4 linked regions of the Elephas maximus indicus genome follow. The protein of the gene in region 4 purifies or fractionates together with the protein of the main gene of each other region. This does not show direct contact. Links are inferred from orthologs where the notes say so. Each region holds a gene or a part of one and is shown on either strand. Other genes may lie near its edges.

The links.
Region 1: the proteins of DDB2 (region 4) and CUL4B purify together in Homo sapiens (affinity purification with mass spectrometry; 11 studies listed by BioGRID and IntAct, counting the BioPlex papers as one, with this or other methods). This does not show direct contact. The link is inferred for Elephas maximus indicus from reciprocal best matches to the Homo sapiens genes DDB2 and CUL4B.
Region 2: the proteins of DDB2 (region 4) and COPS8 purify together in Homo sapiens (affinity purification with mass spectrometry; 6 studies listed by BioGRID and IntAct, counting the BioPlex papers as one, with this or other methods). This does not show direct contact. The link is inferred for Elephas maximus indicus from reciprocal best matches to the Homo sapiens genes DDB2 and COPS8.
Region 3: the proteins of DDB2 (region 4) and CCT7 purify together in Homo sapiens (co-immunoprecipitation; 3 studies listed by BioGRID and IntAct, counting the BioPlex papers as one, with this or other methods). This does not show direct contact. The link is inferred for Elephas maximus indicus from reciprocal best matches to the Homo sapiens genes DDB2 and CCT7.

What each region holds. Positions count from the first base shown.
Region 1 is NC_064846.1:35,959,018-35,966,630, forward strand, and holds the start of CUL4B (cullin-4B), read left to right. Parts: upstream 1-4,610; 5' UTR 4,611-4,698; intron 4,699-6,856; exon of another isoform or gene 6,857-6,881; coding exon of another isoform or gene 6,882-7,613. Other genes in the region: C1GALT1C1 (C1GALT1-specific chaperone 1), read left to right, coding at 6,882-7,613.
Region 2 is NC_064824.1:139,246,571-139,254,358, forward strand, and holds the start of COPS8 (COP9 signalosome complex subunit 8), read left to right. Parts: upstream 1-4,784; 5' UTR 4,785-4,923; coding exon 4,924-5,001; intron 5,002-6,863; coding exon 6,864-6,934; intron 6,935-7,788. UniProt on the Homo sapiens protein: Component of the COP9 signalosome complex (CSN), a complex involved in various cellular and developmental processes.
Region 3 is NC_064835.1:62,607,027-62,614,352, forward strand, and holds the start of CCT7 (T-complex protein 1 subunit eta), read right to left. Parts: upstream 3,002-7,326; 5' UTR 2,865-3,001; coding exon 2,859-2,864; intron 1-2,858. Other genes in the region: PRADC1 (protease-associated domain-containing protein 1), read left to right, coding at 4,357-4,423, 6,341-6,441, 6,977-7,086. UniProt on the Homo sapiens protein: Component of the chaperonin-containing T-complex (TRiC), a molecular chaperone complex that assists the folding of actin, tubulin and other proteins upon ATP hydrolysis.
Region 4 is NC_064825.1:102,634,434-102,641,960, reverse strand, and holds the start of DDB2 (DNA damage-binding protein 2), read right to left. Parts: upstream 3,007-7,527; 5' UTR 2,919-3,006; intron 2,644-2,918; 5' UTR 2,576-2,643; coding exon 2,449-2,575; intron 858-2,448; coding exon 721-857; intron 360-720; coding exon 168-359; intron 1-167.

The sequences.
Region 1 (7,613 bases), on a different chromosome or scaffold from region 4:
ATGGTTGCAGGAGCCCTGGTGGTGTAGTGGTTAAGAGCTCAGCTGCTAACCAAAAAGTCAGCAGTTCAAATCCACCAGGCACTCCTTGGAAACCCTACGGGGCAGTTCTACTCTGTCAAATAGGGTCACTATGGGTCAGAATCGACTCAACGGCAGTAGGTTGGATTTAATCTTACCGAAGCAGATCACCAGGCTTTTCTTCCCCAGAGCCACTGGGTGGATTTGAACCACCAACCTTTCAGTTAGTAAAAAAAAAAAAAACCAAACCCAGTGCTGTCGAGTCAATTTTGACTCATAGCGACCCTTATAGGACAGAGTAGAACTGCTCCATAGAGTTTCCAAGGAGCGCCTGGCAGATTCGAACTGCTGACCCTTTGGTTAGCAGCCGTTAGTAGCCAAGAGCAAACCATTAGTACCACCCAGGGACCTATATGTACACTGCTACCACAGTAAAAAAAAAAAAAAATGCCTTAAAAATTACAAGACCACATATTGCAACCCTGATGAATTAATACCACAGGCACTGGCCATCAGTGGCAGCGAGCATCACAGGGAGAGACAACCAGACAGTATGTGGCTCCTGAGGGAAGCACACAGAACCACCTATGAAGCAGTTTTTCCCGGAAAAGAAATGAACCTGATTCTAACCAAGCCTTTTGATTAGGGTTAGGGTTGCCATATAAAATACAGGACATCCAGTTCAATCTGAATTTCAGATAAACAAGGAATAATTTTTTAGCATAAGCATGTCACATGCAATAGTTAGTATGTCTCATGCAATACATCCGGGACATATTTATACTAAAAATTATTCCTTGTTTATCTCAAATTTAATTTTAACTGGGTATCCTGTATTTTTATTTACTAAATGTGGCAAACTACCAGTCCACAGGGAATACAAAGGACAGAGAAACATATTAAAAGAACCAGGATGAGGTAATCAGCACCAGACTGTGGGTAAATCTACAAGAACAATCAGATTGCTTCAACAAAGAAATGTCAAGAGAAGAAAAGAAAGTAAGAGAGAACCTAGACTAAAAAGAGACGTAAGAGACACAAAAACCAATCACATTGTAGAGATTTTATTTGGAGTCTGATTTAGACTATAAAAAAATTGTGATATTGTTGGTAATTTGAACACTCTAGATATTTGATTAATTAAGGAATTATTAATTTTCAGATATGATAGTGGTATTGTGGATTTTTAGAAATTCTTATCTCTTAGAGATCCATATTGACATGTTTACGACAGAAGGAGCTTTACAATAATCTAGAAGAAAGGGAAGTGGAAGACGTATAGATGTGACAAGATTGGCTTTGAGGTGATGATTGTTCAAGGTTCGTGAAAAGTACATGTGATTTCATTATACTTTTCTCTCTACTTCTGTGTAAGTTTGAAATTCTCCATAATAAAAAAGTTTTTAAAAGAAACAATACCTAGTACAGTGCCTGATATGACATACTGTAAACATTTTGTTGGAGGGCAAATGGGTTTGTTCATTTAAAAAAAAAAAAACTCTCAGATATTTTTAAGTAGAAAAATATTTTTGACATAAGATTCCAAGCATGAATATGCCTGAAAACACAAACTGAGATTCATTTAGAGACCAAACTATCCTCAAGCTGAAACAATAATGAATTTGCTCAGACCAGGGAATTTGTTTATTGCACATGAACAGTTGAGAAACTCTGGGCAGAAGAGTTACACAGAGGTACTTCATTCACAGAAGATATTTTTAACCCTCCAAAAAGATGTTATGCAGAAAACAATCCACCTTAGATTTTCTTCAATATTATTCCAGTGAACTGTTGCAGAAAGTCACGTCAATTTCCCAAAGGCCTGAGGGCAAATTTTGAAAATTTGAGTGCTTACACGCAAGTGAATCTCCAATTACTAGAAATTAATGACCTCTACGCTGCATAATGCATGGAATTGGCAGAAATGCTTTTCCAAAAAGGCAGTGTTTTCGGCTTTGAATGCAGTCTTGCCTTGCCTGCTATGTACATGAAGGCAACCAAATTCAAATGCAAACCCCCATAACAGGTGCAGGTTAGTGTGTTTAGTGAAGTTTAGTGCAGGTTAGTGAAATAAGCTATCTTGTTTTTAAATGTTTAATATTCCATTATATGGCTGTACCATAATTAATTCAACCATTTCCTTATTGATGAATGTTTCCCACTTTTGCTATTATAAACAATAATGCATTTTTCCTTATATATTCAGCCTTACATTCTGATGTTTTAATTTCTGTGGGAGCGATTACTAGAAGTGGGTTTGCTGGGCCCACTTATATGCTGAGTGTAAACATTCTTATTTTTAGTAGATACTAATTGCATGACTTATTAAGGTTATAATATGTAAAGGTCTAAAAAATGAAATCACCTAACTAAAGTCAATCATCTCTAACTTCATTTCAAATGTTAAGTATACTTAAATTCTGCTTTAAATAGAGAACTGGGTTCTTAAACAATTTCTCATTAGCAGTGTTTCTGGTGTTGAAAATCTTATGGTTTGTTCTGTTTCAGAGCACTGTGTATCAGTACTTCCAGTTTGGTATACCTTCCTGTACTAGAAAAAAGAAATGTTTTAAATTGCCTCCTTATAATTGTCTCTGAAATCTGAGTGAAATTTCTATCTGTCCTTCCTTGGTCCTTTTTTGCAAGGAAAACTAGTTCTCTATTCTCTTTAAAAAGGTATTGGTATCTTTTCCTCTTTGTTGCTTTAATTTTTTTTAATTCCTTTATTTGCTGCTTTTCAAATTCAAAAGTAATAAATGCTCGTTAGAAGCAGTGAAACAATGCAATACAAAGATGGATAATGACAGAGTTAACCATACTCACCTCAACCTCCGGATGTGATCAATACTGCTGGGTATAGTTCTATACTCTCTTGCTCATTCAAACAAACCAAGCATATGTGCATGTATATAAAAATTTGTTTGTTGTTACCAAAGTATAATCATACTATACACATTATTCTGCAACTTGTTTCACTTAACTATATATATATGTGCGTGTATACACATATATTTATATTTGTGACAATCTAAAAATGACTATATATCAATCAAGAAAATATAACAGAGATATTCTGCAGTATTAAATTCCTTTCCAGTTCAAAAATTCATCTTTTGTATTCCTTAGAGTCAGGGGCTGAGTCAAAGGCAGCTGACATGTCACATTACAGGGAGAGCAACTAGGGTCACAGAACAATGTGTGTATAAATTTTTGTATGAGAAATTAACTTGAACTGTAAACTTTCACTTAGAGCACAATAAATAAAAAACGGCAACTAACAACAACAGAGAATATATCACTATTACAATTATTTGTAATAAATTGTTTAATGTCATTCTTCCCTGCTAGACGGACAGTTCTATATTTTACAGGGGACTTATTTTGTTTACCACCATAGCCCCAGAATTTAAGGTAGCACCGCCATGATAATTGCCCAGAGCCTATTTTTTTGTGACTGAATAGTCATTGCTAATAGACCCAAAAACATCTAAGATAGATGTGTTTTTGGAAACGCTAGCTGAAGTCACCACAGCAGTATCTAATATAGAGAAATCATTCAGTTAATGCTATTTGAAGGAAACATAGTGACATTTAAAATATTTCTAGGGATTTGTGCTTTTTAGCAAAAACCCCTCTCTGCCACAAAAAGAATTTTATGATAGACCATATATTTAGTGGAAGGAGTTCTGCACTTGTAATTAGGAGACCTGGATTCTAGTTCCACCTCTGCCTCTACCTAGCTATGTGACCTATATTAGGTTTCTTATCCTTTCTGGGCCTGGTTCCTCATCTGTAGCTCTAACTCATTTAATTCCACTATATATTTATTGTTGAGGAGTGAACAATAATAACAGCCAACATTTGTTGAACTCTTACTCTATGGTTGGTGTTTTGCTAAGGGAGTCACATGCACTGTCTCATTTAATCTTCTACAAGATAGGCATTACTGTGATATTTTCTGTATTTTAGAAAAGAGGGCACTGAAGCGTTGAGAGGTGAAGTAAATTTCCGAGGACATCAAAGCTAGTGGTGAAGATAGGATTGGATTCCAGGCAGCGTTGCTTCGGATCCCAGCCCAGTAACCATAGCGAATTCTTACCCTCATAATTCAATGATTTTAGTGGCTGACATTTGGGCCCCAGTCCAAAAGTACTCGGGTGGAATACCTCTTTGCCAATATAAGGGTGCAATGATGCAGAGCTACCTTACAGAAACCACTGAGACATCCCACGTACGGCCGCCAGGAACCAGAGTCTACAACACCCTCGGTTTTCACATCGGGAAGAAGAAGAGGTGGGAGGTGTCGGCGGGTCCGATGCACGCACGCCTCTCTAGGCGTCCCATTGGGTACAGGAGAGCGTGCGGTGGGCGGGGAGAAAGAGGCGCGCTGCGTGCGCACTGAGAGAAAGAGGCGCGCGGCGTAGGCGCGGGCCCTTCTGAGGTCTGAGCGAGCGGGCGGGCGGGCGGTTCAGCCGGGCCGAGGGCCCGTTTGCCCCGCCCCGCTGTCTTCGCCTTCGTGGCCTCCGCTTCTTGGTCCTCCCCACCTTTAGTGAAACCAACGAGAGGACTCCGCCTGCAGCTAGAGCAGCCTGACTGGGAGCGTTACCAAGTGGCGCGCGGACCTGAGAGGAAAGCTGTGCGCGGCTGCGCTTTCCCACCCCTGAGGCGTTGTAGACACCGGTGAGTGCCGGGGTCTCGGCCCCCACCCCCGCGGACCCCGGAATGTTCTGACCCTGCCTCTTCCCTGAGGAGGGCCTGAGCCCTTGCTCACTCCCAGCATGCTCCACGCGGGACGCCAAGGCAGGTGCTGTTGGAGGAATAGTCAGTGGGGGAGATGGAGAGTTTTGAGGTGACCGTATCCTACTCCTTACTTCTCTTCTCCCCTTTCGTCCTCCTCCCTTTTTGATACTCCACCCCAGCACCTTCACCTTCTAAAAAGATTCATCCCAACCACTATGATAGTGCTTCATTTGTGTTTGTTTTAAGTTTCCCTCTCTTCTTCAAATATCCTATCATGTGCGTTTCCAGTGTTACATTTTTTGGCCTGCCTTGATTGGAAAAAAAAAAAGAAGTCTACTCCTTAGAATAATTTGTGTGAATGGTTTTATTTAAAAATTGCTGACTTCTTGAGTTTGTTCAATATTTTTGCAGCCATGAGTAATAACCCATCAGGCAGAATTCTGACGTTATTTGCCATTATGGAGCTGAGAGACACATGTGAAATATATTGGCCAGAAATAATGAAAATTGTGTAATGTGAAATGCCACATTCCTATATACGTTAATTTTAGAGCACCCCTGACAGTTCTAATTAAGCAAAGCTTGTTTCCTGTTCTCTTTTCCTTCTTGGAGCTGTTTATTGATCAAGTGCCTTGAGTGATACAGTGCAACCATCCTGCTTCTCCCCCCACCCCAGTTCTTAGTATGATGATGTTGGGTGTAAAATGTCAATTATGGTTAACAGATCCCCATATGTATATATACACATATTTTTTTTTGGTCTGTAGGAAAACAAGTGATTCATTTGTTAAAGTCTCAATACTATGGGTAGAAGCACCGTAGAAATTGATATGTAATGAGAAAAATATTAAAGTGATGTCAGGAGATCTGGTGTCTAGTTCCACTTCTACCATTAACTTCGTGACTTTGGGTCAGTTGCTTAACCTCTCTGGACCTTAGTTTCCCTATTTGTAAAATGAGATAAAAGGCATTAGATAGCTTCTAGTGCCCCTTTGAACTTTAAGAGACAAAGAGAAAACCTGAGTAGCTCAATAAAACATTCTTTGTGAAGATGAAGGGGTGATTGGGAAAATACTAGCCTTTACAAGCATAAATGCTGGTTGTATTTAATGTTGGCTTTTTCAGTTGGAAACCCTGGTGGTGTAGTGGTTAAGAGCTACCCAAAAGGCAGTTCAAATCTACCAGGCATTCCTTGGAAATCCTATGGGGGCAGTTCTACTCTGTCGTCTAGGGTCGCCATGCGTTGGAATCAACTCGATGGCAACAGGTTTGGTTTGGTTTGGCTTTTTCCAGTTGAAGTAAAAGTGTAGAGTTTCCCTTTTTTACTGGAAGAAGAAAATGCCTTTTCAGGAAATAAAATGTTTGTTAATGGTCCCCAGATATGTCTGTATTGATTTAGTTCTCATCGAAATAATTTAACTATTCCCATCATAAGCTTTTAATACACCAGTTAGTTGAGATACGTATTAGGTACAGTATTGGAAACCATTTAGTTTTAGGAACAAAAGTGTAAATATTAGCATATATGCTATCAATCTCAAGATACTTGATTTAGATGTACTCCAAACACCTAAGGTCAGCAGCCATCAGTTAAATAAAGTACTAGGCTGGGAATAGAAATGTCAACACAGATACCATTGGTGATTTGCCACTTGTAGGTGGCTTTATCTGTTAGACTTAAGGTTTTGGTGTGAAGGTCCATTTATATCTGCAAAGGTATTTGAATAACATAATGCAAGCTTGTGAAACGAAATTCCTTTAAAGAGAACGATGAACGGACAACTTCTGTGACATTGGTTTCTAGAGTTAATGCTTTGATTTAGTACTTGGACAATTAAATCCCCACAGATGAAGTACAAAAAAAAAAAAGAGCCTTCTCACAGCAGATTGTACTCCATAGAGGAGTTGCTTCAAAGTTCCAGTTTACATCAAACAGTAATCAGATGCCACTGGAAGCTAAAGATTCCTAGGGTCATTGGTACTATGTACAACTAACTGGATTTCAAACTTGGGAACCTTTTTAATGTTCAGAGCAAAATGTAAGTATATAAGGAATACCAAATCAAATGACTAATCTTTTTCCTTTAAATATTTTAAGGATCTTTTTCTTCTTTATAGGAAAAATGCTTTCTGAAAGCAGTTCATTTTTGAAGGGTATGATGCTCGGAAGCATTTTCTGTGCCTTGATCACTATGCTAGGCCACGTTAGGATTGGTCATGAAAATAGAATGCACCACCATGAGCATCATCACCTACAAGCTCCTAACAAAGAAGATATCTTGAAAATTTCAGATGATGAACGCATGGAGCTCAGTAAGAGCTTTCGGGTGTACTGTATCATCCTTGTAAAACCCAAAGATGTGAGTCTTTGGGCTGCAGTGAAGGAGACTTGGACCAAACACTGTGACAAAGCAGAGTTCTTCAGTTCTGAAAATGTTAAAGTGTTTGAATCAATTAATATGGAAACAGATGACATGTGGATAATGATGAGAAAAGCTTACGAATATGCTTTTGATAAATATAAAGACCAATACAACTGGTTCTTCCTTGCACGCCCCACTACGTTTGCCATTATTGAAAACTTAAAGTATTTTTTGTTAAAAAAGGATCCATCACAGCCCTTCTACCTAGGCCACACTATAAAATCTGGAGACCTTGAATATGTGAGTGTGGAAGGAGGAATTGTCTTAAGCATAGGATCCATGAAAAGACTAAACAGCCTTCTCGGTATCCCTGAGAAGTGTCCTGAACAGGGAGGGATGATTTGGAAGCTATCTGAAGATAAGCAGCTAGCAGTCTGCCTGAAATATGCTGGAGTGTTTGCAGAAAATGCAGAAGATTCTGAAGGAAAAGAT
Region 2 (7,788 bases), on a different chromosome or scaffold from region 4:
GAAGTCTCACCATCCTTGCTTCTAAGGAGCATTCTGGCCGTATTTTTCCAAAACAGATTTGTCTATTCTTCTGGGAGCCCATGATATATTCAATATTCTTCACCAACACAGTAATTCAAAGGCATCAATTCTTTTTCAGTCTTCCTTATTTATTGTCCAGCTTTCACATGAATGTGAGGTGACTGAAAATATCATGCCTTGGGTCAGGGACATCTTAGTCTTCAAAGTGACATCTTTGCTTTTTAACACTGTAAAGGGGCATTTTGCAGCAGATTTGTGCGATGCAATATGTCATTTGATTTCTTGACTGCTGCTTCCATGGGTGTTGTTGGTATTGTAGATTCAAGTCAAATGAAATCCTTGACAACTTCAATATTTTGTCCATTATCATGCTGTTGCTTATTGGTCCAGCAGTGAGGAGTTTTCTCATCTTTATGTTGAGGTGTAGTCCATACTGAAGGCTTTAGTCTTTGGTATTCACCTGTAAGTCTTTTAAGTCCTCTTCATTTTCAGCAAGCAAGGTTGTGTCATCTGCATATCATATATATATACACAGAGAGAGAGAGATTTATTTGGGTCATGTAATTATGGAGGCTGGCAAGACCCAAATTCTGTGGGTCAGCTCTCAGGCTGGAGATTTTTCCTGAGTCATACATTTGTAGGGTCTGATGAACCCAAAATTGGCAGGTCAGACAGCAGGCTGCTGGTTCACATCCCAAGAATCAGAGGTTAGACTATGACAGTTTAATGTAGGATCAAGAGAGAGCAAGCTTTGCTGTAACATCCATATATATTGGCTGCAGGCCACACCCCCAAGGAAACTGCCTTTTCAACTGATTGGCTGCTCACAACAGATCACATCATGGACAGTGATTGCGTTATATCTGCCATACCACTGAGAATCATGGCCTAGCCAAGGTGACACATAACCTTAACCATAAAAACCTTACAACAGTTTTCACTTCTTTATTCACTTCCCGTATTTATTGATACATTCATAAAAATTAACGAAGTTATACAGGCGTAGGGTGGGCCCTAATCCCAAACCCTTCTCAGAGGCATCTCATAGAAGAGGAGCAGTTTTAGACACAGAGACATACCTGGGGTGAAGACACAGCGTAAGCTGATGGAAGCAGATGCACATAGAAGCAGCAAAGGAGCTCCCAGGATTCTCACCACCAGAAACAAGGGGAGCGGCATGCGGCTGCTCCGCTCTCATAGTCCTCAGGAGGAATCAACATGGAAGAGACGCTGACTTGGACTTCTAGCCTGCAGAACTGTGAGACAATAAATTTCTGTTCTTCAAAGCCACCCACTTGTGGTATTTTGTTATGGCAGTCCTAGGAGACTAAGACACAGACATGGCATGTTTAACCATGCACCTATTAGGTCATTCAGTGGTTTAGCTATTGTACTTTATGATTTTGCACCACGTTTTAGCTGCAGTTCATTCCCTCTTCAGTAATTATTTCATTAGGATAGCTTCCCAAGGGCAGTACACTAAGTCCAAGGCTAAGACTATGTCATGGTTTTCATTGTGTATTGCTACCTTGCTTAATGAAATGGCAACATCTACCACAGGGCCGCCCACAGGGGTGCCTTGCCCAAGAGCTCAAACTGATATTTCACCCGTCAAGGACACAAATGTCCCTCTCAGCCAGTGGTCCGATGGAAGTACCTGAGCAATCTATCATCTTGTTCTTGGCCACATTAACACCCTCAAACCCAAAATGCCCTGAATAGAACTTCTAGTGAAGTGCTAAATAGAAGTGGTGACAGTGGACATCTTTGTCTTCCTCTTGATTTTGGGAGAAAAGCATTTTCACAGATAAAAATTTACATAAATTCAATCCTCAAAATGTGAAGATTACTCAAATGCCCACTTTCCCATTTCTCAATTATCTCTGACAACCTCTGCCCACACGGCACTTTCTCGTTCTGACCCTAGCCACCCCCAGCTAGGTCAGATCTCACAACTTAAAAGGACACCATCCTTCAGACTGCCAAATAGGCAGATGCCAGCCACAAGCCTGGGAGTCCACATGACACCCTTACTTCTAACCTGCTGGCTACAAACTTGGGTATTTCCCACTATTCATTCAGAATGTCAGTCCAAGTTTGGGGGCCTCCCCTGGACTTCCTAACTTTCACTTGCTGGCTCCCACTGTTCCTTTGGGTTTGATAATTCACTGGAACAATTCATAGAGCTCAGAAAATACTATACTTACGGTTACAGGCTTATTGTAGCAAAAAGAATACAAATCAGCATAGTGAAGAGATGTACAGGGCAAGGTCCAGGGGTATTCTCAATGAAGAGTTTCCATACCCCCCAAGAAGCTCACTACCCTCCCATGTGTATCCATGCCTTTCACCAACCAGGAAGCTCCTGAAGCCTCTGTGTCCAGAGCCTTTATTTGTTTCATTACATATGCATGATAGGGGCCTCATTGCATATTCATATTCATATTCATATTCATGGTAAGAGCCTCATTGCATATGCGTGATTGAATCATGTTCCCTTATCTCCCTGAGGTCAGCTGATTTCAGGTCATGATGTGGTCCTTCTAGCTTGGCCAGCCCCCCACTCATTAGCATAAATCCTCTGGTATAGTCCTTAAGCTTAAGTAACAAACCCATTGCTGTTGAGTCAATTCAGACTCATAGCAACCCTATAGGACAGGGTAGAGCTGCCCCATAGGGTTTCCAAGGAGCAACTGGTGGATTCAAACTGCAGACCTTTTTTGGTTAGCAGCCGAGTGCTTAACCACTCTGCCACCAGGGCTCCCAAATAACAAAAGGTACTGTAATTACTCAGGAAATTTCAGTTATTTCTCAGGAACTGAGGACAAAGGTCAAATTTCTCTCTGTAAGGGGATTCATTGCTTCACAGGATTCAACCTTTTACTATTAAATATGCTGTAGGTGTGGGTTTCTCACAGATGTCCTTCATCACATTGAGGAAATTCCCTTCTATGCCTAGTTTGTTGAGTATTTTTATCATGAAGGGGTGTTGGATTTTGTCACACACTTTTTCTGAATCTATGGATTTGGTACCTTTTTCTATTGATATGGCGTATTATATTAATTGTTTTTTGAATGTTAAACTCACCTTACATTTCTGGGCTAAATCCTACTTGGCCATAGCATGTAATCGATTTTGTATATTGCCGGATGAGGTTGCCTGTATTTTGTGGAGGACAATTGTATCTATATTCATAAGAGATTTTGAAAAAACACAAAAATAAGACAGACACCAATTGCAAGGGAAATAGGAAGTGGCAAATTTATTGTCTGCGCAGACAAGGAGCAAGGTAAGGATTGGGGAGCTTTTATGTCCTCAGATCCCTGGGGATCTGGGTGCTGAGTCATGCTGAGTCACTCTTCACAGGAAGTTCAAGTTGGGGGACTTCTCGCTTTCCAAAGTAGCTCGGGTGGCACTGGGTGCTGGAGAATATCTTCCCCTCTGGTGATGCTCAGGCCTGGGGTCAGGTACAGAATTCTCTTGATCTGCGCATGTGCCAAGATCTTGACCTGCGCACGTACAAAGATTTGACCCCAACAAACTAAGGTTAGAAGCCAAGGTTTGTAGGGCTGTGGGCTTGGAGCAAACTGCAGTTAGAAGCTGTGGTTTGCAAGGACAGCAGACGAAGGTTGGGGGAGTGCCTCAGTGGAGTGGAGGAAGCCACGGCGACTTGGGGTTTCAATTTTAGTCTGTGGTTTTCTTTCCTTGTGATGACTTTGTCTGGTTTTGGTATTAGGGTAATACTAGCCTCATAAGATGAGTGTAAAGTGTTTCTTCTTCTAATTTTTGGAAGAGTTTGTGAAGAATTGGCATAAATCCTTCTTTAAATGTTTGGTAGAATTCACTAGTGAAGCCATCTGGGAACAAAGCAAAGCCTTAGCCCTGGGGGCGCCTGTGGTTTAGTAGCGAATAAACACATTTATAACATACTGTTTGGCAGCAGTCAGTATCATGCAGAGAACCAAGGAGCCCAAGGCCTGGAGCAGAGTCAGAGAGCAGCTGGGATTTGGATCATGTAAGCTTTGTAAGCAATGGAAAAGCCTTTGGATTTTAGGGCTTTGAAAAGAGGAATAACAAGAATTAATTTATGTTTCATAAAAGTCATTTTGGCTGCTGTGTAGAGAACAGGCTGGAGGCAGACAGGGGTGGTAGCTGGCCTATTTCAGGGGTCCGAGTTGGAAAAGGTTCTGGTTCTGTATGTATTCTGAAGGCGAAGAGCGGGGATTCCCTGAGTCTCGAATGCGGGGTGCGCAGAGGGGAGCCAGGTTGGAGGATGGTGAGGCCCTTTACTAAGAGGGAAGGGCTGCGAAAAAGCGGGCTTGGGAAACAGACTGAGGTAGGGTTTGAACCTAAGTCTGCGTGCCTATTAGGCCTCAAAGCCGACGTATCAAGTAGGCGGTTGAAAACACAAACCTGAGACATACAAACATAACTTGAGCACCTACTAAGCGCAGGGCGTTGTCCAGAACGCTAGGCAGGGCATCGACCAGTACGGCAGGGCTCATTCTTTTCTTATTATACATAAACGTTTTACTGTGCCTCTAGAGGAATTTCTGTTTATTATTTTCCGCGTATGGGTTGTCTTCAAAAGGAGTCCTCCCGCAGGCACAAAACGCCGCCCTTCCCGGACTTGGCCTTGACTCCTGACGCCGACTTCCGGCGAGGACCGACCGGTCCTCCAGAGCATAGAGAGGCGGGCCAGAGCGGCCACGACCCCTGCCCCCGCCCCCGAGCCGACGCAGAGACGTCTGAGGACGCACGGAAACCTCAGGCGCGCCTGCCAGTACCTACGGGCGCTCGTCGGCGGCCGAGGCTTTTTACGTCATCGCCGGCGCGACACCCGTAGGGACAGTCTGGGGTCTGGTTTTCGGGGAGGTGAGGCGGCGGGAGCGGCGGGGAAGATGCCAGTGGCGGTGATGGCGGAAAGTGCCTTCAGTTTCAAGAAGCTGCTGGATCAGTGCGAGAACCAGGAGCTCGAGGTAGGGCTCGGCTCGGGCCGGGAGAAGCCGCGGGGTCTCCGGGGTAACGGGCCCTACGGCGGCCGGCAGGGGACGGGCGCGGGAGCTGGGCGCGGGGAGCCCGGGCGGCTGCGGCCGGCTCCGCCTGGAAGCCCTCGGGCCCGGCCTCCTGGAGGGAAGCGCGGCCTGGACCGCGGTCGCAGCCCCATTCTGCCCCCGCACCAGGGCTGTCCGGCCACCTGTCATCACGCCTCGCCCTCCGCGCGGGCCACCTTTCTCGTGTGACCCGGGTTGGGCTTACTAGGCGTGGAAATTCTCCTGTCCCCCGACTCCATGTTGGGGACTTAAGTTGGTCTGATACAGTGTATTTTGACTTTTTTTTTTTTCCTTTAGTTTAATTTTGGCCCTTTTTGGTTAAGAGCTTGACTGCTAACCAAAAGGTGGACACTTCGAATCCGCCAGCTGCCCCTTGGAAACCCTATGAGGCAGTTCTGCTCTGTCCTGCAGGGTCGCTATGAGTCGGAATCTACTCGACGCCGACGGGTTTGAGATTTGGGTTTTTCCATATTATAATCAATTTTTGGTTCATTTGTACCCAGATAAGACCTTTACATTGCTTGTGTTAACAGTACTTTGTTAACGATTTGCGACGTGCACCCAGGTGCGGGGACAGTAAACATACTTTTTAGAATTCGTTCCAATTTTTCTGCTTTTCAAAGCGTAGGGTAGTATTTCTTATACAAGGCTTTTTTGTTGCTGTTTAACTTGTTATTTGTCTTCAGCTTGTTTTGTTTTTTCTCTTACAAGCTGAAGTTTGAAGACAAATAACTTCAGCTTGTGAGAGAAAAAACAAAACAAATATATGCGTCTTTGCTCCTAACACCCACCAGTATGCTTTTTATATTAATTAGACGAGACACGCTGCTTTCTTTGTCATTGGCCGGGGGAGGGGAAACGTGGGTTTTATTAAAGACACTTGTGCAGGCATGTGCCCATGTATATACAAACAGACCAAGAAAGGTGGGACCTTTCCTTGACTCAGAAAGCCGGTCTTATTCTCATAATACTCCTACCAAGTAAATTTGCTGTTTTGTCTTTAGTTAAGACAAATGAAAGTTTTATTATGCTGTTGAAGTTAATAGTTTAGACTTTTTTGAGTTAGACATTTAAATGCATGACATTATTATAAATAGTTAATTAATTAAAGGAGAGAACAGTGAGACCAAGTAGCTCTAGCTCACTGATAAAAAACGCTTAATAAATGTTTCCTGAAGTTAAATGGGGAAAGAAATGTTTTTGTACCTCAGCCATGATGTTTTTCTATTCCCCACTCATTTACCGGTACTTAACTGTTCAACATGTGGACCCTGGTGGCTTAGTGGTTGAAGCATTTGGCCGCTAACCAAAAGGTTGTCAGTTCGAATCCACCAGCTGCTCCTTGGAAACCCTATGGGGGAGTTCTACTCTGCCCTACAGAGTGGCTATGGGTCAGAATCGACTCCATGACAATAGGTTTGTTTTTTTTTGGTTGACTGTTCGACATATTTGATATAATGGGTAGAGTCATAGTGCTTTAGGAATTGGTTCAGAATGTTTGTGTCTTATAATAGTAAAGTCGTTTAAATTAGAATTTGAAAACTTGGAAAGAGACCCCAATTAGATTATCATGTGAAGAAATTAAGGCTCAGAGGGAGATAAGTCACAACTGATGACAGAGCTAAGCTTCGTTCAATGGTTTTAGTGTTTGATACTTTTGTAAGCTGTTTTTATATATGTAATAGGGCTATAAAACATGCATTGTATTTAAAAAAATGCTTTTTTTTTTTTTTTAAATAAGAGGTAAGAATAAATAAGGTTTTTCTCTTTCCCTTTTGGCTTTGTAGGCTCCTGGAGGAATTGCCACAGCCCCAGTGTACGGTCAGCTTCTGGCCTTGTATCTGCTCTATAACGACATGTACGTGCCTTCTACCTAAAGCCAACAGCAGCAGTGTCCCCAAAGTTAGACAGAATCACCCTCGCCTTGAAGCAGCACACTAAGTCATGGACACAGCGAGCTGTATCTTTTACCGTAACACTGCATACACCTGTTTTACCTTGAAGCATAACTTAATGAATTCTGATTAGGCTGAGTTATTTTTATTTACATTTGTTTATCAGGTACCTTATAAAAATATTTCAGTTTGTTACGAGAGACTACAGTGTTAGTCAAGTCTATGTGCAGTTATTCCTTAACATCTATTGACCTTTTTTTTTTAACTTTCTAATGACATTTGTTGATGTAACCTCACATTTAATCGATAGTCCAAGAGGAGCTGAAAGGGAGAATTGTTTGAGAAAGCTAAGAAGAATTTATTAGCAAAGCATATGAGATTTCTTCAGAGTTTTGTGTTTTAATTATCCATGTTCATTGAAGAAAAACCAGAGAGCACAGCTGTGCAGACAAAGAGGAGTCTCTGATCGTTTTACACCCCATAGAGAATTACTGATACGTTTCTGGTTTAAATTCTTCCAAATCTTTTTATTTCCATACCTTTTTGAAAATTAAATACCAAGAGTCTTATTACAGTTTGTGTAAGTTCTCTGCTTAATTTTTTATAATTCCATCATCATATGTTTGCTGTTGTTCAGGTTTTCAAACCCTTATAAACTCCCATCCTGGCAGAGTTTGGAGGCTCTGTGCCACTGGTCAGCAGGGCCATGATGAGGTGATTGCTTTGGGTCCCACACACATTGTCAGGAAATGCTAGAGCCTTGATGGTGTGCGGATTTGCTTATCTTTATGTTGGAATGCCTTATTTGGGCAATGGT
Region 3 (7,326 bases), on a different chromosome or scaffold from region 4:
AGCTTCCCAAAGGTAAGCACTATAGCAATCTCCATTTGTAGAACGGCTAGATTTGGCCACATGTGAAACAACATTCAGCAGCTTTTGGTGCTGAAATTTCAACCATTACATAAACTAGAGGGGACACTGGTAATTCAGTGATAGAATTCTTGCCTTTTACACACCCAGAAACCACCCAGTGTCGTCGAGTCGATTCACACAAGAGACCCAAATTCAATTCTTGCCAATGTACCTCACGTATGCAGAAGATGTGGCAGTCTGCTTCCGTAAAGATTTATAGCCTTGGAAATCTTATAGGGTCACTATGAGTCAGAATCAACTCAGTGGCAGGGCGTTTGGTTTTTCTGGTTTGCACCCCATGTGCAGTCGCCACCAGTTTGTCACTGGAGGCTTGCGTGTTGCTACGATGCTGAACAGGTTTCAGCAGAGCTCCCAGATGAAGAGACTAGGAAGAAAGGCCTGCCAATCTACTACTACTAAAAATCAGCAAAGAAAACCCTATGGATTTTAACAGGCGTTTTCTTCCACTGCGCACGACATCACCATGAGTCAGGGCCCAACTTGACAAAAGCCAACAACAACATCATATACTAGAAAGTGCTTGATACAAGCCATGAAATAAGATAGGACTGGCTTATTTCATTAAAGAGTTGGCAGTATGGTGACACTAAATACACTGAGAATTCAATTCTTAAGTACAAAGCAAGGACTTGGAAGCAGCTGACCGCATGTTCTCCAAGTTCCCCATGCTTTGTAGTCCCAACAGAAACGACAGTCTGGGTAGAGAGATCCTATGGAGACGTAGCAGAGCTGGACTGAGGCAAGCCTTGTCAAGCAGGACCAGTCCTTTTCTATCATATTCCCAGGGCGATGCAGTGGTTAAGAGCTACAGCTGCTAACCATAAGGTCAGCAGCTCGAATCCACCAGGCATTCCTTGGAAACTCTATGGGGCAGTTCTACTCTGCCCTACAGGGTCGCTATGAGTCAGAATCGACTTGACCACAACGGGTTTGGTTTTTTTGTTGTTGTTTTCTTATTACCCTAGAAGACTTTTAGAATATCAGAGAACAATCTGATGACAGCAAGGAGGATTCTCGGTGAAAGTTTCACATTACAAAAGGAGGAGACATCTATCTAAACAACCAAAAGAGCAGGGAAATAGGGTCAATCTGGCAATGATGAGTAGGGGTCCATTCAGGAAAAACCCAAGTGCAGTGGTCTGAAGTCCCCTGGTGAAGGGTTTAATTATCAGACAGAAGAACCTGAGTTCTGATTCCCAGTTCTCTGAATACCAACCTAAACTCTTATGGTAGCCTTGGCAGTAGGATAGACTACAGGGAGGAAAAGGAAGTAAGCAACCACCTGGCTGAGTAATAGCTAACATTTACTGAGTGCTTACTACATGCCAGCCATGGCTCTAAGCACTTTACATACATTAATTCACTTAATTCTATACAATACTCTACTCATTGCTATCTCTTCTGACTGACTGAGGACCAGAAATTAAGTAACATGTTCCAAGTCACACAGCTAGTAAATGGGAGAGTTGAGTTATAAACCTAGACATTCAATATGGCTCCAGAGCCCTGACTCTAAACAGTTATTCTATGCTGCCTCTGTCCAGAAAGTGAAGACCATGTCAAGAATAGGTAGTGTTGAAGGTGGATTGAAGAAGGATGGTGCCAGAGGTCCAAAGTGGGGAGGGTTGCAGATAAACTACAGGTTCCTTGTATCTTGGGCACAACCTGGGTTCATGGGGCATTCAGTAGCAGAAGGAACACCTCAAAGGTGTCAGTCATACATCTACCAGGGCAGGGAGAAGCGGCAGGGAGCCAGAAAAGAGGACGAGTCAGACCGAGAGGCCAAAATGAATGAGAAAACTGCCAGGTGCACAGGGGAACAATAACTTAAGAGTTTTGCCAGCAATAACCTCCTTAAGAGCTGACCTCGTCCAACAGCAACTCAGTAGATAACTACCTAAGTTTGGGAAACAGGGAAGGAACCTGCAGCTCCGAGATAGAGAAAAGGGATGTTGTGGGAGGGGGAGAGCTCCACGATCCCCCAGTCCTCTATTCTAAGGAAAAGACCCAGAGTTAAGGGCCAACTAGAAAAGTCTAGTCCAATGTCGCACCAAGAGGTCGGGGGTCACAGCCAGGGTCTTCCAACCTCTGAGTGCGGTGTTCCCGTCTACCCTGCCCATTCTGGCTAAAGAGCTGCACCTCCTGCGACAAGCTGAGCCTGGTACATTCAATGGGCATTAAATATACGTTTATTTAAGGAATGAATGAGTGTGTGAATGAATGAAAATACGAGCGGAGGAGTATTTATGCTGTCTCAATTTATGCTGCACCGGATAGGCTGGGGGACAGTGAGCTACCATAAAGTGAAACCCTGGGCTCGGCCAAATGTAAGGTCCCCATGCTGCCTCTGCCCGTTCTAGGAACCACATAGCGTCTTTACATCCAGCATTCTCAGGGGCAAGCCAGCTTCCCAGCCGCCAACCGCAGAAGCACGCCCAACTGGCACTCCTTTCACACAAATCTCGATGGGGGACCCCAAAAACGGGGTGCCCGGGTCCACGACGCGGGCTCGTGGCCCCGAAGCACCCTGGGACTTGTAGTCCCCAGCCGATCGGCCAGAGCCTCCCCTGGAGCCCTACGCAGCCCTCGCCAACGGCCCCTGCTCGGTGCCCTAACCGAGCCAGGCCGCTGCGGGCCGGGGTCGCCCACAGGCTGCGGTCGGGTGGACACAGAGCTGGTACGCAGGAGAGGGCTTTAAGGGATGGGTCCCGGCCAGACGGTGCCAGCCACGGGCAGGATGGCAGCGGATGGCGACGGATGCGCGGGACTCCACTCACCATCATTTTGGAAGCTTATTTAATGGCCCGCTCCTCCTCCTCTCTTCTCTGGGTCCCGGCCGTCCGGCAACCCCACAATGCCTCGCGCCAAAGAAGTTCGCAGAACCTTCGTCAAGGCGTTGTGCCGGGAGAGGAAGGGGACGGGCCACTTCCGCCACTCTATGGTTCTTCTACCACAGAGTCGGCAAGGCTAGAAGGGCCAGAGGCTGGGCTTCGGAAGGAGGTGTAGGTCCCGCTACCCGAGGCCTTAATTACCGAAGCTTCTCCGGATTCCGGTCGTGCGTTTTTCTTCTCGGTGGTGCAGGCTTCTTACTCCGCCCCCGTCACCTACTAACCCTGATTCCGCCCCGATCCCCCACTGGACACTAGACCAAGGAATGCAATAAACGCGTGCATTTATTGAATGCTGTGAAACTGGCCTATGCTAAGTAAGCGCTTTTCGTAAATGAGCTCAATCCTAACAACCCTATTGCCTGGGTACTATTATTATACCTAGGGGCCGTGGTGTTGCAGTGGTTAAGCGTTTGGCTGCTAACCAAAAGGCCGGCAGTTCGAGTCCACTAGCCGCTCCCTGGAAACGCTGCCAGGCAGTTCTATTCTGCCTTATAGGGTCGCTAGCTATGAGTCGGAATCGACTCAACAACGGGCTTGGTTCTTTTGTTTGTCTTATTATTATACCTCTTTTCCAGATGAAGGAACTGAAGCTCAGAGAGGTTAAGAAATGGTGTCCAAAGTCACAGTTGCACACAGTGTGACAGTGAGGCGGGGTGAGAACCTGGCCCCAATACTCGTTTTCTGGCTCTGCACTGGCCAAAGCCTTACGGCTGCAGATCAGGCCGCGTTCCCAACGCCTACGAATAGTGAGCGCGCAAGAAATGATGCAACTGGGCATAAGACTGGCGGGCCTTGAACGCCAAGCCGAGAACGGTGGGCCACCTGGGCGCTAGACAAATGCCTTCCCGCGGGGTGGGGGCGTGGGACGGATTGGGGGAAGGAAAGCAAAGCAGAGTGCTCACGCCTGGGAGAAGGCAAATAAATTGTGAAGCGGCCACGGAGAGGATCCGGCCGAGATGGCAGGAACTAACCGCCAGGGCTTTTAGGCCGCTGAAGCGAGTCATCCGGGGTGCCCACCCCCAATTCTCCCTCCTCCCGGACCGGCCCACCAGTCGGTGAAGCCTTGGAGAGTCATATCCAAACTGAGAAGTGCTGGGGCGGGGCTGGGGCGAGGGCTGGCAATTGGTGTTCACAGCTTAAGCCAATCAGCCTTCAGCCCCACTTCTCTTGGCCAATGGGAAGTAGGCTAAGGCGCAGAGGCGGAAAGCGTGGCTACATGAGCAGGCATGAGAGCCAATCGGCAACAGGCCTCGTTCCGGTTAGCCAACAAGCCACGAGAGCGGGTCTGTGGGCGGGAGGCCGGAGCAGCTCTCCGGCTGAAGTCCGGCGAGGGACGCGCGGCGGGGCGCCGGGGGAAAACGCAGAGCCGGGCAGGGCCCTGGAAATGGTCCCTGGGGCCGCGGGCTGGTGTTGTCTCGTGCTCTGGTTCCCCGCGTGCGTCGCGGCCCACGGTGAGCAACGGGCGGGACTGCGCTGTGGGGCAGGCCGTCCAGCTTGCGCGCGTCTCCGGCTGGGGGCCACGGGTCACCTTGGGGACCCCGCGAGTTTGAGGCAGGGCAGGTGCGGGGACAGATGGCTGGCTGGTTGGGTGCTGGTCCCCAGGGACATGCGCTAGGCGCAGCCCAAGCCTAGACTCTGAGTCCTCAGCCCCCCACGTTGAAGCAGGACCCAGGTGGCCGAGGGTGGTGACCAGGACGAGGCACAAGGGACACCTGGAAAATCCTACAAGCTGGAGATATGTATGTGAGCACTCATACACATAAAAATATAATAAAAAATTATACAGCATATAATCCTACATCTGGGCTCTCACACAAGCACACACAATCTGTTAGCACCTACACAAGCACATGTACGTATACAGCCATGTATACATGTATGTATATATTTGTATATGTCGTTAGGTGCCGTGGAGTCGGTTCCAGCTCATAACCCTATATATGTGTGTATGTGTGTGTATACATATATATAAACCCCCCAGTGCCGTCGAGTCGATTCCGACTCGTATATATACATACACACATATACTCACACTTAATTTACACAGATAAACAGATGCAGAGGCTAGGCAAGGAGGTGGGGTGGGGAGCTTAGCTTTAATTCAGGAAGGCCTCCTGGAAGTGCATCTGTATTGGATGGAGAGTCCCCATTCTTGGGTCAAAACGCTATTGCCCAGTGCCAAGCCAACAGAGCGCTACCTGGTGGCAGTGATGTGGGCAGTAGGCGAGGACAACTAGTCACAATCAGCCCAAAGTCTGGCACATGGTAGTGCATGGTAATTTGTTGGCTAGCTGATCCATGGCTAAGGAAACCAGGGACTCGAGGCCAGGTAAAATATTAAACTTTGGTGCTGAAAAGAAGTTCCCACACCCCAGGAAAGTCTGTTTGCTCTGGCAATTCTCTTCCTCAGTGTGTTGGAGCCAGAAATAGTTGCTCATTCGTCACCCTTTGTTGAGCACCCGCTATATCTTAGCCCCTGTGTTAGACACTGGGGATGCAGCAATGAATATGAATACAATTACAAATTTTGTTGAAAACGTCAGTGGAGAAGAAGTACGAGGGGAACTCAATTCGAATGGGTGTTAGGAGAAGGCAGTCACAGTGCAGAAAGTTTCTCTGAGAAAGTGAAATTTAAGCTGTGACCCAAAGGATGCATAGGAGTGAGGCAGGTAAATACGTGGGGTGAGTGAAGGTAGGGAGCCTTCTAGGTAGAGAGAACAACTTGGAGGAAGACCTGGAGAAGTGAAGAGCTGGGATGGTCAAGAAACTGAAAGGAGGGCAGCGTAGTTTGAATATAGTAAGGAGGAGATGAGCTTGCAGTAGTGTCCGGGGGCCAGATCAAGCAGTGTCTTGTAGGCTGTTAAGACTTAAGATTCGATTTTAAGTCCAAAGGGAAGTCATTGAAGTCCTGGGGATGACAACATGGTCGTGTTTATGTGTTAAGATGGCTATTGTTTGGAGAATGGACCTTAGGAAGCAAGAGTGGAGGCAAACAAAAGTTAAGAAGCTGGAACAGTCAGGGCAATAGGGTGGGTGGGCTAGGGGAATGGCAGTGGGAACAGAGAGTCAATTTTAAGTTTTAGTGAGAATTGTTTACCGGGGCCACGACATCTCCACCTTGAAACTCCCAGGCCCACTTCAGAGCAAACAAGGATTAACTCCCCAGAGAGAGAACACTAGAACAGCAGCTATAAATCTCTGGGGTTACTAATGTTATCTGCCTCAACTCTATCCTCTACAGGGCAAAGACCGTCTATCTCACCCTCCTGGGGAGACCAGTCAGCCCAGGTTCAGACCCAGAGTCCACGGTCTGAACCTGAACTAACTTGTTCCCCGGAAGCTTCTCACCTGTACTCTTTGTCCTTCAGGCTTACGTATCAATGACTATTTGTACTTCCAAGTGCTGAGTCCTGGGGACATTCGATACATCTTCACAGCCACACCTGCCAAGGACTTTGGTGGTATCTTTGTAAGTTTCCGGAGGCCCTCTCCATTTTGACGTTCTTCCTCCCCTCCTCACTGAGCTGGGTGTCCCTCTCATCCCTTCAACCAGTACCTGAGTGCCGCCACGGCCCAGTGCTGAGCCGGGGAATGGATCAGAACCCAGCTGTGCCCTCCAGGGGCTGCAGTGCAGGGAGGAAATGCTTCCAGCTCCTCCCGTGGGTCTAGCACAGACCTGGGCACCATGGAGGGACAGGCTGTCATGACATAGTGAGAAACCAAAGGCACCAGCTTCCTCTGCCAGCTCTACCTCTGAACTATGTGATTTAAGGCAAGTCACTTCCCCTCTCTGGGTCCACACAAACTCCCCTATCTCCCAGAAAGGCAGGGTTGGGTAGGACAATCATCTGGGCCTTCGTGAGAATTACAATGCTCCAGTTCCCTGCACACAGAAACCAGTTCATGTTTCCTTCACACTCTACGGGAAACCAATTGGATGGGATGTCAGCGCAGTCAGAAAGCAGCCATCTTTTCACACTCTATTCTACCTGAATGTCTTTCAGCACACAAGGTATGAGCAGATCCACCTTGTCCCTGCCGAACCCCCAGAGGCCTGTGGGGAACTCAGCAACGGTTTCTTCATCCAGGACCAAATCGCTCTGGTGGAGAGGGGGTAAGGAGCGGGCAGACATGGACACAAGGGGAGAGCAGGCATAGGGCAGATTTGGGGGTCATAGTTGTTAGTGATGCTTTGAAACAGCTTTTCTGGGGACGAGTCATTGTTTTAAAGGTGTTTAAAACTATCTTAAGATGATTCCGGCCCTTTGGCTATTTACCTACTAGCCATTATAAAAAATCCTCCATGGTCCTTCTTCCACCCACACAGGTGATGGTCTGGAAAGGGGTAGCTAGG
Region 4 (7,527 bases):
TAATAAGGGTAGGCATTCAATAAATATTTGAGTATCATCACCATTTAGATGTCTGAAGATACCCACAGTTACTTTTGATCCCAATCATCTCCTTGTAACTGGTTGACTTTTTATTCCTTCAACAAATACTTCTTTATCACTACTATCTGGCATAGGAAATTGCTCACCCCTTTAATGAAGGTGGGTTTGTCCTTTGTATTAAAGTTCCACAGCAAGATATCTCCCCCTTTGGAACCTACAGCCAGGGTGCTGGGGTGAGTTGGATGCCATGCCAAGGATGTGGCCCTCCTGTCAAAGGGGGCGGCCTTGTGGAATATCCGGTAAGAAGCCAGAGAGTGCAAAAAGGACTGCTGGAGACTCTGACACAGAGAGAAAAGAATGAAGTTGAATTAACACCCAAGTCCTGGGTAAAATGCCAATCTCTAAGTCTTCCCACCAAAGAAAACTAACTGCTTGGCCCTCTACCTGAAAATACCACCCTCCTCCCCAGCCAATATCTGCAATGTATGTGAACTAATCTTGGAAAGCAAGGGGGCAGAGTTCATTCCAGCTGGGATCTTTACTTCTACCTGGCTGACTGCCCATAGGCCAGTCACCAAGGTTGGAGTGATCTGACCACTCTGACAACCTGCCAACCAACCCATCCTCTAATTTTGGAGCATCCAAGAGTAAAAAGGCACCATACAAACCCTTAAGCACTTCAGCCAGGAAACGCCTCACCTGCTGCAGCATCGGCCAGGCAGCTTTGCCCAGCTTATGCTGGTGGAGGGCCCTGACGATGCTGGTGTATGGCGACAGAACCTGCAGATTAGCCAATCCCGCCCAAAGACAGCCTGAGTCATATCTTCTGCTAGAACCTGTCAAAACAGAACAGACACATATTTTTCTCTCTGATCTCACTCAGGAAAGATCTTTCTGCTGAAATCCAAAAAGCCTTGTTGTTTCATTCAGCACAGCCCATCTATGCCATCTCCATGATTTGCTTAGCTTCACCCAGCACAAGTAGTAAGTAGTGAGTAGGCATTCTACCCCATTCTAACCCCCAACCCGCTCAAACTGTAACTCTGAAGTGAAAGCTAAATATGATCTTGCAGGCTTCCTGAGCCAAAGAAACAACGCATAAATAAAGTACATCGCAAAACGCTTCCCACTTTGGGCTGGAAAACTCGAGATAAGATGGGTGACAATTTTAAAATCACATATGATGTGCAAAAAAAAAGATTTTAAGACAATCTAGTAGAAATGACTGTTTAGGAAAAGAAATATCTTAAAATCCTATATTAAAATAATGCAGAGGTGGTCAGCTGTAGGCCCCAAATCCTCTCTCTCCTCCTCCCAGAAGCCAGTAGCATCCAAAGGGTCTGAACTAGCTCTAAGGAACCCAGGCTCGTTCTGGGGAGGTAAATCCACTTAGAATAGGAATAAAGCAGCTCTGGATTACCAAAATGCATTTGAGGACCTGATCTATTTGGATCCAGTCTCCTGAAAGCCAATTATTTCTATTCATAGGCCTAAAAAAAAAAAAAAAAAAAAAAAATTCCCTGCTTCACTTCTTGGATCAGGTGGACACTTGAGACTACATTGGCATCTCCTGTCTGGAGGGGAGATGAGAGGGTGGAGGGGGTTAAACGCTGGCGAAAAGGACACGAAAAAAGAGAGTGTAGGGAGAGAGCAGGCTGTTTCATTAGGGGGAGAGTAATTGGGAGTGTGTAGCAAGGTGTATATGGGTTTTTGTGAGAGACTGACTTGATTTGTAAACTTTCACTTAAAGCACAATAAAAATTATTAAAAAAAAAATCCCTGCTTCAGTCTCTAAGACTCCCCACAGTCCTTATAATCCCAAATTCAAGCCCCAAAAAGCCTCTGAGAATGAGCTTTCTAAGGAAGTAGAGAAATTGAGGGCTCACAGCCTAAATCAAGGACATAGAGCTAACAATCATGACTACTGAAATTCAGCGAACACTATCAGACAAGGCAGAATTATTTTAAGCAGTTCTCAGTGTGAAAAGATTCCAATAATAATAATAATAAAAAAACCTAAACCCATTGCCGTGAGTTGATTCCGCCTCATAGCGACCCTACAGAACAGAGTAGAACTGCCCCCATAAGGTTTCCAAAGAGCCGCTCGTGGATTCAAACTGCTGACCTTTTTAGTTAGCAGCCGAGCTCTTGACCACTGCGCCACCAGGGCAAGGAACTTAAAAAAAAGTTCTCGTCGGTTATAACGGAGCTTATCTACGTCCTCTCTTCACCTAACGGGAGTTAAGCCCACGTTCTCTGGTCTCAAAGCTGGCAGGTGTCAACGGACCGGCAGGCAAAATGCACAGCCTGAGGCGTCCGTAAGCTGGGAAAGCCTTAGGAACCTGGGAGCCACCCGTCCCCCACCCCAGTCTCCTGCGTCACAACTCCAAATGGCGGAAATATTAAGCCAGCAGGCACAGACAGTACCGGGACCCTTCACAAAGAGCTTCTTGGCCTCTTGCTCCAGCTCCTGAGGGCTTCTGCTCCTCTTGCCCTTGGGGCACTTAGGAACTTCAAGGGTCTTCTTGGTTTCTGGAGGTTTCCTGGGAGCCATCGCGTCTTCCGGGTGATGGAGTACTCGCGACCCTATGCCGAGATCATGGAACGCGGACTGAGAGGCCTCTAAGGAGAAACAAGACAGGGACCAAGAAAGCCAGGTGTGCCACAGGTAGCCCAACTAAGCCAACTTCCCGCCAAACAGGCTCACGGCTTTCGAACCAGCTTCTAGTTCCGGAACCGCCCCTGTGGGAGGGGCCCCGCCCCTTCCTGGAAGGCGGGAGCGCGCCAGGAGAGCTGGGGAGAGAGTGTGGGGAGAGGGGCGTACCTGTTCCCCCTAGAGGGCTTAGAATGCTTCCCTCCGCCCCCCAAAACACCCCCCGAAATGGGATATCACCCACGTGATGGGCCTGTTCTAGTCCAAGTCAGCTGACTGCCAGAAGTAAAGACGGCCGGCAGCGCTAGGTCACTAAACTTGAACCTCTTCAGCTGTGGCGTTGCCAGGCCTCTGCTGAGAGTACAGGTGCCAATCAAGGCTGCGGCTCCCGCCTTCACTGACTTCTTATTGGGGATGAAGCCTACTCCGGCTTTGGGATTGGCTGGTGCGTACAGGGTGTGGTTAGGGAGACCACTTCGGAGAAAGATACCCCTTAGCTGCTGTGGAAACTGGGGGTGTTGTTGCCCGCCACCTTTGCGATTGGCATCGAGTACCTCCCCAGCTCCGTCGAATCCGAGCTTCTCTTTGCAGAGCGGTTGGAGCTCTCGGCTTTTATCAGATTTTTCCAAACCTGTGTGTCCGCCTAGGGACCAGCCTGGGGCAGTAATGGGCGGGGAGGCCATGTAGCACAGGGTGCTTTGAGGTCCTGTGTCTTCAACTTGAGCCAAAGGCCAAGGCAGTGAGTTGAGCCTCATATGGGTGGGCGGGCGTTCCACTCGGCCCGGGTATGGCTAGGGGAGAGAGAAGAACATCCTAGTGCAGGAACAGCTTGGGCAAAGTTAGGAATGGGTGTGGTTTTTAAAGAGAAAAGCCGTCCTGGCATCTGGAAGATGGCCTGGTACTGTCAGCCAGGCCTTGATGTTCTGTTGAAAACCTGAAATAATTCCACAGAACATCAGCATCAGACAAGGCCACTTTATGACCATGATAGATCAAGATAAAAACATGATCAGTCATGTCTGAGCACAGACAAAACTGTGAGCAATTGTCTAAAGGACATAAATGATCAAACATTTCCCTTTTTTGACTAATATGAATGCCTGCTGCTTCTATGCCGATTATAGCTTTAACTTTGCTTCATTCCTCCCACCTAGTACACAAGATTTGTTAAGATAATCCAATCATAGAATTACCCCTACTTCCTGACAGGCTCCGATCCAAAGCAAACCAACCAGTTTCTGTCAGTCAATTTCAACTCCGGGCTATGGCATGTGAGTGAGAGTAGAATCCTGCTCCATAGGGCTTTCAGTGGCTGGCTCTGAGGGAAGTGGCCAGGCTTTTCTACCCACGTGTCTCTTTTTTTGCACATTAACTTTTTGCACATTAACCATTTGTACCACCTAGGGACTCCTGCTTCCTTAAACCCAGCCCAAAATCGTCGAACACAAGCCAATTCCTATAAATCCTTTCTAACATCCTCTTGAGATACCACACCATTCCCCATTGCTCCCTTTGAATGAACAGCAAACCCAAAGTTCAACTATAAAAGTATTTCTGGTGGTGTCTGGCTGGGGGACATTGACATTTATGAGTAGAGTGGGAGGTAGCTGGAAGAGTATCTTCTGTTTCTTTAGTGCTGCTGTTACAGAAATACCATAAGGGAGTGGCTTTCATGAATAAAAATTTATTTGCTCACAGTTCAAATTAGGAGGCTAGAAGTCCAAATCCAGGGCACCAGCTGTAGGGGAAGCTCTCTCTCCCTGTCAGCTCTAGGGGAAGGCTTTCTCTCTCTGTCAGCTCTGAAGGAAGGTCCTTGTCTCTGTTCATATTCCGTTCCTCGTTTCTTGGTGATCTCCATTTGGCGTCCATCTTCAGCTTCTTCTTGCTTTTATCTGTGCCTAAGCTGCTACTTTTATATCTCAAAAGTGATTGGCTTACTGTGAAACATTTCATAACATGGAGGAACCTGGAAGGCATTAGTCAGATCCAAAAGGACAAATATTGTATAAGATCACTATTATAAGATCTGGAGAAATAGTTTAAACTGAGAACACGTTCTTTTGTGGTTACGAGAGGGGGGAGGGAGGGAGGGTGGGAGAGGGTTATTTACTGATTAGATAGTAGATAAGAACTACTTTCGGTGAAGGGAAGGACAATACTCAATACAGGGAGGTCAGCACAACTGGACTGGACCAAAAGCAGTTTCCTGAATAAACTGAATGCTTCAAAGGTCAGCGAAGCAGGGGTGGGGGTTTGGGGACTATGGCTTCAGGGAATGTCTAAGTCAATTGGCAAAATAAATTCTATTAAGAAAACATTCTGCATCCCACTTTGAAGTGTGGCACCTGGGGTCTTAAACACTAGCAAGTGGCCATGTAAGATGCATCAATGAGTCTCAACCCACCTGGATCAAAGGAGAATGAAGAACACCAAGGTCACAAGGTAATTATAAGCCCAAGAGACAGCAAGGGCTACATGAACTAGAGACTGCATCATCCTGAGACCAGAAGAACTAGTTGGTGCCCTGCCACAACCAATGACTGCCCTGACAGGGAGCACAACAGAGAACCCCTGAGGGAGCAGGAGAACAGTGGGATGCAGACCCCAAATTCTCACAAAAAGGCCAGACTTAATGGTCTGACTGAGACTAGAGAATCCCGGTGGTCATGGTCCCCAAACCTTCTGTTGGCCCAGGACAGGAACCATTCCTGAAGCCAACTCATCAGACATGGATTGGACAGGACAATGGGTTGGAGAGAGATGCTGATGAGGAGTGAGCTACTTGTATCAGGTGGACACTTGAGACTATGTAGGCATCTCCTGTCTAGAGGGGAGATGGGAGGTTAGAGGGGGTTAGAAACTTGCAAAATGGTCACAAAAGGAAAGACTGGAAGGAGGGAGCGGGCTGACTCATTAGGGGGAGAGCAAGCAGGAGTATGTAGTAAGGTGTATGTAAGTTTATATGTGAGAGACTGACTTGATTTGTAGGCTTTCACTTAAAGCACAATAAAAAGTATTTAAAAATAAAATAAAATAATGTAAAAAAAAGTGATTGGCTTAACTCTTCAGACGGAGATTGGACTGAACTATAAAACATAAAATAATACTCCTGAAGAATATTAGTTCAAGCAGATATATGAGACTAAATGGGTGGCTCCTGTCCAGAGGCAGGATGAGAAGGCAGGAAGGGACAGGAGCTGGCTGGATGGGCATGGAAAACCTGGAGTGGAAAGAGAGAACGTGCTGTCATATTATAGGGATTGCAACTACTGTCACATAACAATATGTGTATAAATTTTTGTATGAGAAACTAGCTTGAGCTGTAAATTTTCACCTAAAGCACAAAAACAACAAAAAAACGATTGGCTTAAAACATACGCAACATCGATATGGCGGCATTAACATAACAAAGAAAATTCTGTTCCCAGATTGGATTATATCCCATAGTATTGTTGTTGTTACTAAGTGTTGTCAGGTCGATTTTATACTCATAGTGACCCCACGTGACGAAGTGGAACCACCCCATAAAGTTTTCTAGGCTGTAGTCTAGGCTGTAGGGAGTAGATCAGCAGGTCTTTCTCCCACAGAGTCTCTGGGTGGCTTTAACCATCAGCCTTTCTGTTAGCAGCCAAGTGCTTAACCAGGGCTCCTTTCTACATGTATAAACCAAACCAAACCTGTTTCCATCAAGTCAATTCCAACTCATAGCGACCATATAGGACAGGGCAGAACTGCCCCATAGGGTTTCCAAGGAGCGGCTGGTGGATTCCAACTGCAGACCTTTTGATTAGCAGCTGAATTCTTAACCACTGTGCCACCAGGGCTTCTCCTACGTGTTTAGGGGTTAGCATTTACAACAGGTATTTTGAAGGGGACACAATTCAATCCATAACAAAAAGGAAACCTGACCTTCTGCTATGACCAACGTTCTGTTGAGGATCTGTGCAAAGTCAGAAGGACCAGATACAGGGCAAAGTTGAGTGGCAGTCACAGGAATTCAAATTTTATTCATTCCATCGACATTTATCAAAAACCAATTCTGTGCCTGGCACTATTTCAGGCAAAGGGAATCCTGGAATGAAAAACTCTACTTGCCCCATTGGACAAGTGTACCTTCTAATAGTGGGAAAGCCAAGAAAACCTATAACTATCGTACAGTGGGTAAGCTTAGTGAGAGAGGAAGCCTAGGGTTCTGGCTGGGGTGGGAGGACAGAAAAGGGACACCTTAACTCAGCTTGGAGCGGGGAAAAGGAGAGGCTTGTTGTTGTTCCCAGGTGACACTTAAGCTGAATCTTAGGAGACTGAGGGAGGAGGGAGAGAGCATTCCAGGCAGAGGGATCAGGAAATGAAAAGGCAGAAAGGTAATAGTTACCCATGATGGATTCATTAGCTAAGAAATGTCCTGCTTAATGCCAGGTTGTCCCAAAATTCTCAGGATTGGGGAGGTTTTCCATGGTGGATGAAAAGAACCATGTATGAGCAGTGGGAACCTGCTTGGGACACACCAGTAAAGCGCCTTGTTTGAGATTGTGCTTTGAGACACCTTAACCAGGTTTTAAAAAGGAGCCCTGAGGGCGCAGTCGTTAAAATCTTGGCTGCTAACTGAAATGTCAGCAGTTTGAGCCCATCAGCCACTCCACAGGAGAAAGATGCGGCGGTCTGCTTCTATAAAGCTTTCAGCAGTTCTACTCTGTCCTATAGGGTGGCTATGAGTCAGAATCGACTCGATGGCAATGGGTTTGGTTTTTTGGTTTGGTGGCGCTGTGGGTAAGTGCTAGGCTGCTAACCAAAAGATTGGCAGTTCTAACCTACCCAGTGGCTACAAGGGAGAAAGACCTGGTGATCTGCTCCCA